Linked DNA regions of Elephas maximus indicus. The protein of the gene in region 1 interacts with the protein of each later gene in a pairwise test. Links are inferred from orthologs where the notes say so. Each region holds a gene or a part of one and is shown on either strand. Other genes may lie near its edges.

Region 1 (3,751 bases):
CTTGATAGTTTCCTTTTTTACAAGACTTATGACTGGCACAGGAGTCCTGGGTGGTGCAAACAATTAAGCACTCGACTACTAACCTAAAAAGGTTGGTGGTTCAAACACACTCAGAGGCACCTTGGAAGAAAGGCGGGGTGATCTGCTTCTGAAAGGTCACAACCTTGAAAACCCTATGGAGCCAGTTCTACCCTACAACACATGGGGTCACCATGAGTCAGAATCTACTCCACCCCAACTGGTTTGGGTGTTTTGGGGTTATGGCTGACATCATCACTTCATGCACAAATAGGTCTTTAATCGCTTTGAAGGCAGACATTTCCAAGGAAGTTTGAGGCCCAGGGGAACCAAATTTGTTCTCTACAGAGGGCAGACTCTGTTGGTCCTCCTGTCTCCTTCTGCATTCCTCACTCTTCCTAGACTTTGCCTTAAAGGTTGGGGGGAGACCTGAACTAACCCCAGCATCAAATCTGGCTTCTTTCCCCTTCACTGATCCTGGACAAAATGAGCTCCCTATTGCTCTTGGTCATTGGAAAAGCGCTTTCTCTGTACAGATTACTTACTGACACTTTGCACGGGGCCAGTTAAACCGCAGGCGTCCGCCTCAGTCGCCTTTTGAAAGATGCTGAGGGAGAAAATTCTACCGCCGGCAGATGGAGAGGAGACCTGGACCAGCGTAGTCCCTCCCTCCGGGATTAGCTACCCCTGGCACGCTCAGACGTACCCAGCCCGTGCGGTCCCTGCTTGCACAGCTCGAGTTGCATATCTGGAGCGTGGACGCAGTCCCCAGCCGGCAGCCAGCAGAGCCGCACTGTCCCAGGCATCCCGGCGCCCGGCGTCAGTGGACCTGGGACCTCGAACCCCCGACAGGCGCGAAAGCCACTCCGAAAGCTGGCGTTTCTGTATGTGCTTATTTCACACATTTGTCTTTTATTTCTTCCTTGAGCGGCCCACTGGTTACTTTAGTTTCAGTTAAGCCAGAAGGGGAACGTGAAAGAGTGGGTGCCCTAAGGAAGGATTTCGAGGCAGCCGGGTCTCCTTTCCAAGGAGAGGTGTTTCCGAAGTGACTCTTCCGATCCCCTATGCTTGCCCCTTTAAGAAGCCAAGTCAGTCCTGAGGCTGCTGCTGTTTGTATTGCTAATCCCCTGGAGCCCTGTTTAAAAAAAAGAAGAAGAAGAAGAAGAAGGGGGGGGCGGGCAGCTGTCTCTTTAAATGTGATTTCCTTCTATTGTATTTGAATCGTGATCAGGAAAAAGGAAATGAAACCAGAGACAGAGGGAAGCTGAGCGAAAATAGACCTTCCCGAGCAAGGAGGGAGTCCGGGGGGGAGACGCACAGCCCCCTGCCCGACCCCCTCCCCCCCCGCCCCGCTCTCGGCGGCGAGCTGCGCGCCGCGACCCGGGCCGAAGGTGCGAGGGGCACCGGGCACCGGGCGGCGCGCACGATCCCCGCGGGCGGCGCGAAGCCGGCGACAGCGCGCGAGCGGGACCGGGAGGCGGCGGCGGCGGCGGCGGCGGCGGCGGCGGCGGGACCGGGATGGAAGGTTAAGTCCTGAGCAGCAGCTGCTGCTTCAGCCGCCCAGGGCCAGGCTGCGCGCCCCGGCCCCATCCTCGGCCGTGGCGCGCCCGCAGCCCGGTGATTCGCTCTCTCTCTTTGGCGTTTGAAGGGAGCGCGGTGACTGTCCTTGAGCGCGGAGGGGCGAGCTCGCCTCCGGAGCGCCGGAGCAAGAGAAGGCGCAGGAGCGGCGGCGGCGGCGGCAGCGGCAGCGGCGTCCGAGCACCCGAGGGGGTCCGAGTCCCGGTAGCCGGCCAGCCCCGCGCCACAAAGGGAGTGCCCCCGCCACCCGGCACGCCGCCTCCCTCCCCAATGTCCTCGGCCATCGAGAGGAAGAGCCTGGACCCGTCTGAGTAAGTGTGGCGCTCCTGCCCCCGCCACCCGTGGTGTCCACGGCCTCGAGCTCCGGGGCGGCAGGGTGGTGAGAAGAGCCCGCGAGGGGGCTCCAGGTGCGCGCCCGCAGCGTGCCCTTGGCTCTCTCTGCCTTGAGCAGGGCTCTCTTTTTCTCACGGGGTAGCCCCGGGGACCCTGCAAGAGGGACTGGGCAGAGAGCAGCAGGGAGAGGGGACTGGCTCGGCACCTCCTTGTACCCCTCCGGCTGCCTGGGACGCTCTCTGAAGCGGCCGCGAGCTGGAAAGTTTGCACAGGGTTAGGCCCAGGGGGGAGCTCAGAGGGGCGCAGATGCTGTTCGGAGATCGTGCAGGGCTCGGTTCTGTTCCCTTCTCCCCTCTTGTCCGCTCCCAGCTGCTTTTCTCTTTGTCCTTTTGATCCTGAAAAGAGGGACATTCCAAGTGGAGGTGTCCGGGATCCCCGACAGCCCTTTCCAGTCCGCAGGCGGAGTGGCGGCTAGCAGTGCCGCTGGACCTCGGGTGAGGGGTTTGAGCGCCCACCTAGGAGCACGCCCTGGCCTCGAGGCTTCTAGAGCCGCCAAATCCAGAGTTAATCTGGGTTCATGTAACCCCCACCCCTTAAAAGTCAGTGCACCATTTTGTGTATAGGTGAATTTTTCTGGAGAGAGGAGTCTCAGGGTTTGCACTGTAGTTTTAAACGGGTTTGGAGTCAGGGAACCAGGGCTCTAATGAGTATTTGTCGCATCTGTTTTCTGAACCTTTTACTGGTTTCGAGTGTTTCCCACTTCGAACCTACACTCCCAACCCATTCCTTGGTGTTAACATGGGGAGAAAAATGTGGTTTAAGATACCATTTTCCCATTAACGCTAATGCCCTTTAAAGATTCATTAGTTGTCTGGTTTTGAGAATTTTTATTCCTTTGAAGTCCCTGGCTAATCCTTTGAAGGGATTTGTGACACAGACCAAAGGAGCTGGTTAATGACTTGTCCATTTGTGCTTTTAAGAGGCATTTGTTTTGTTTTTTCTTTTCCTGCCTTAAAAGAATTGTGCTTTCCTGCTGGAAGTCTCCCGCCTCCAATTTCAGCCCTCCACTGTTTATTTACCTGGGTTTTACCCTGAGTTACCAACATAAAAGCTCAGTATGTTCTCATAAAACACAGGAAGTGCCTCCATCCAACGAGAATATAAACATCACTATTCAATCTTGAAGGTTAAGACACCAGTCTATAAGGATCTACGTTTGTGTTAACAAAAACTCAAGCTTCCTTAAACAAATTCTCTGGAGAAAAATAACATTCCTTTACTTTAAAGTCCATAACTATGCAAACAATGGTTTGCTTACTTTCTTACAAGCCCAGAATGACAATTTAGCCCTGAGCTTTCAGAGACTGGACAAGACCACAGCAATACAATAATAAGAGAGTGAATTGGATGCATTGGTGCCTAATGCCCTTTCGATCAGCAGAAGTGAGTCACTAATCCTTTTATTAGAAGATAAATGTGGAGGTTTCAGTTCCCTGAAGGAAGTTTGCTCTCTTCAAAGTTTGTTCTTTTTCACTGAGATTAGAAAATTGAAGCATCCAACCTGGTAACATAGCAGGCACCCACTGAAGGATGCTGACCTCCTCCATCCTTTGCTTCACTATTTGGCCAATGAAGACGGGTTCTAAGTGAAGATGGACAAGATAGTTGATGAAATGATGCGGGGCATCCTTTTTTATCGTTCTCAGAAATTGGTGATAAATTATCTTAGAAATCCAGGCTGAAGTAATTTTCTGGTGCAATATTCAGAATAGGCTCTAAGGGAATATAAAACATTAAGGGTAAATTCCACTCACTCATTGGC
Region 2 (3,751 bases), on another chromosome or scaffold:
CTGCCAAGAACCAGATTTTTGGAATTCATTTCCTCATTTTCCTCTTGATAAGAGAAGAAAATGTGGCAAAAGGAAGGACAGAGTAAGAACAATACCCTTCAGCCTTTTTCTCCCTGGCTGTTTTGAAGCATCCAGTTTCAAAGGTATTTTATCTGGATACCCCCATTACTTCTTTTACAACCAACTCTTTCTAATTGCTCAGAATCCTATACAACATACAATATAGGTTTGAGTACATACATGAATAAAGATAGGTATTTAGCCAATAACCCATTGCTGTCAAGTCGATTCCGACTCATAGTGACCCTATAGGCCAGAGTAGAACTTCCCCATAGCGTTTCCAAGGAGCTGCTGGTGGACTCGAATTGCCAATCTTTTGATTAGCAGCCGATTTCTTAATCACCAAGCTGCCAGGGATCCATTTAGCCAACAGGAATTGAATATAAATCAACAGTGTATTATGGATTCTTAAGGAAAAAAAAAAAAAAGGCTGTGATCCTAGGTTTCATTAATAAAGTAGTATTTGAAATAAAGAAGATGATAGCACAGCTCTCCTCTTAGCTGGCAGATCTCACCTGGAGGATCAGGCCCCTCTCTGTAAGAGGTAAAATATTCAGAGTGATCCACAGTAGAGGAAGATGAATAAGATGATGAAGGTTCTTGAGATCATGTCATATGAAGAACAAAACTGGACATGTTTAGCCTGAAGAAGAAAAGACAAGGAGCAGGTGAAGATGACCATTTGGCATGGATGCTGTAGAAGATATTCTAGCATCTGTGAGGTTGGATTGGATGATCTTTCCACCCCTAGGAGGGTTATTTATCATTATATATCACTGAGTCTTAATTATTCATTTTTACCTCTTGGAGGCATGGGCTTTGATTTACATGCATCAATGTGAATATTAATGATGCATCAGCAAACAAGAACAAAGTCCAGTACCTGATATTTGGGTGTTCTTGGCTCAGTACTATCAGTCTGTTGCCTGCTCCCTGGCCTCAGTTCCCATGGCACCTTGCAGTTTCCCCAAAGAGCAGTAAATATCCCTACCTCTACCCCCTTGCAAGAGCATTCTCAGTACCTTAAATTCCCTCCCCACGCTCCTGTCTACTTCTGTCTAGAGAAGCTCAAATCTTCCTTTTCCATGAAGCCATCCAGGCCATCCCAGAACTCTTTGAGCCCTCCCCTCCCTGAACTCTTGTGGCCCTTGGTGGTAGAGCAAGGTTGTTAGGAGAATTACGTAAGTTCATATTTGTAAATCCCTTAAAACAGTGCCTGATACATAGTAACCATTTTAAAAGCATTTGTTAAATAATTATAATAAAATCATAAATATAAATAAAAATGACTTATAGGGTATTTGAACATTCTTGGGAGTAGAGAGGATATCTTACTATTCTCTAACCAAGCCTGCTATCAACCTTTGGTTCTTGGTGACTTTGCTCTTTTGTTTTAACCTTCACTGGGTACCTACTCTGTGCCAAGGCCTATGAGGGCCTGTGCTATGAGCTGGGATTATGGACATGCTCGGATAGGGTCCTTGTCCTCAAGTTTATTGTATAGTCTTGTGGAGGAGGCTACACAAACATAAACACATAAAATCACAGCACAAATTCCCACACCCAAAGTGCCAAATCCAGAACAACTCTTGGTGACTAGAGGAAGGTATAAAAGAATCATGCTGGGACTAAAATGATCTTGACAATGGCATCAACCTTTTCCCTAAGTTCTGCCTCCCTTTACTTTTATCTGGGTTTTTATGAGGATGTGGGCTTGTGGATAAACGCCCTTCATATCTAAGTTATATAAGGCACCACGTAGAATCCCAGAAATTCAATAGGTGCCACCCAGCCCCTCCCAAATGCCAGCTTCCTTCACACCTGTTGCTTCCTGCCACCTTGCAGGAAGGAATTGGAGGGTTAGGAATTTGTATGCATGGTGGGAAAAGGTGGGCCCATTTTATTTGAAATTAACTTAAAGAAATGATTTGTTGAGACTCCAGTGAATTGTGAGAAAGCAGGTCTTTTTCTAATTTAAAACACTAGCAACTCCTGTCTCTCAACTGTTCTCTATTCCACTGGTTCTCAGCTTTGGCTGCTCATAGGAATCACGCAGGCTGCACTCCAGACCAATTAAATAAAAATCTCTGGGGCATCGGTAGTTTTTAAAACATCCCAGGTGTATCCATTGGATCCTCCAGGAAGTAGAAAATGGGCTGGAGTTGGGTGTACAAGTGGTTTACTGAGGGGTAGGGCCTGTAAAAGGGAAGCAGGATTGGTGAGAAAGAGCCTCAGCCTGAGATACGGTCAACCCACCAGGGAGCTCTGAGGCAAATATGCCTGTCAGAGGAAACCCTATTGGGCAGAAAGTTCTTGGTGTTCCTGCCAAGCTCAGTCATTGGCTGGAGGCTGCTTGGGAAGAGCGGAGGCGGATCCTGAAGGTGCAGCAGCTGGAGGCTGAAGAAACTTCCCTCCTTGCAGCTGAAGGGCAAGTTCTTTCTTGAAGCGAGATCCAAGCAGCGTCCTCCACGGCTGACATGCCAAGTGAGCTCAGTGTGTGGCCAAAGTTGAAAACCACCACTCTGCTCTCCAAATGGGGAAACTCTTATCCTTAGGAAAACCGTTTTTTTTAAGAAACCAGGATACTCACATACAAGAGACCTACCATCATGGAGGAAGTTACAGGGGAGCACAGATCAGGGGAAAGCCCACTCTCTCCCAGAAGGCTTGTTCTAGTAGCAGCACCAGTCACCAACCAGTCTTCAGGCTCTGCATAAGCCACTTCACCATCCTGACCCTCGGAGTCCTCTGCTCTAAAATGGGTGTAATGAAACCATTCTCTCCTCACAGGGTTGTTGTAAGAATTAAATGAAACACTGAATGTGAAAGCACTCTTTAAACTATACAGTAAGGAAAATAAGAGTGGACAGTACATGTGCTTTGTGCCAGGTACCATTTTCATGTATTAACTTATATACGTATGCAGATAGCGGTGGTTGTAATAACACCACTGTAAACATTGCTGGCAATGGCTCAGGGATGCAGACTTGTTCAAAAAGTCATTTCACTGCATAGTATGCTGGTATCATTATCCTCTGGTAGGAACCAAATGATAATCCCAGTTAACTGGAACAATTCACTCTGTTACCCTCAAGCCTTGAATCTATAGGGGTCTTTATAGAATTTAGCCATTAGTGGAGGCATCACATTGTGGTTATAAAAAAAAAAAAAAAAAAAACAGGCTGTGGAGCCAGCACCCTGGGTTTGGCTTGTGGCTCTACTCCTCCTAGCTGTGTAACCTTGAGCGATCTGCTTAACCTCTCTGTGCTTCAATTGCCTCATAAGTAAAGGGAGACTCAGGATACTACCTTGCTGTATTATTGATACAGGAAATGGTACACATACAGCACCTTAGAGCAGCATCTGGCACACTCCCAGTTTGACCAATAGTCCAATTACAACAAGATACACTCCAAACTTTGGTATCAACGCTTGCTGAGGGCCTACTCTGTGCCAGATATTGTGCTGGCTGCTGGGGATACTGACGAACAGGACACAGGGTCAGCCCCCGAGGACTTTGTTGCTATGTGAGACTCAAGAGGGAAGCATAGGGGCAGTAAGAGCAGAGAAACCTAACCCTGGCATTCTGAGGAAGTTCCAGGCAGACCATGGATCCTTCTAAGACAAAGAGGGTGGGCCAGGTGATCCCCAAGGCTTCTTTCTGCTCTGAAATTCCAAGATGCCCTCCCAT

The links.
Region 2: the proteins of LMO2 (region 1) and TAL2 interact in a two-hybrid assay, tested with the Homo sapiens proteins (2 studies listed by BioGRID and IntAct). The link is inferred for Elephas maximus indicus from reciprocal best matches to the Homo sapiens genes LMO2 and TAL2.

Annotation. Positions count from the first base shown.
Region 1 is NC_064825.1:89,121,969-89,125,719, reverse strand, and holds the start of LMO2 (rhombotin-2), read left to right. Parts: upstream 1-1,415; 5' UTR 1,416-1,536; coding exon 1,537-1,543; intron 1,544-1,666; coding exon 1,667-1,907; intron 1,908-3,751. UniProt on the Homo sapiens protein: Acts with TAL1/SCL to regulate red blood cell development. Also acts with LDB1 to maintain erythroid precursors in an immature state.
Region 2 is NC_064827.1:55,199,329-55,203,079, reverse strand, and holds the start of TAL2 (T-cell acute lymphocytic leukemia protein 2), read right to left. Parts: upstream 2,694-3,751; 5' UTR 2,666-2,693; intron 704-2,665; 5' UTR 576-703; intron 1-575.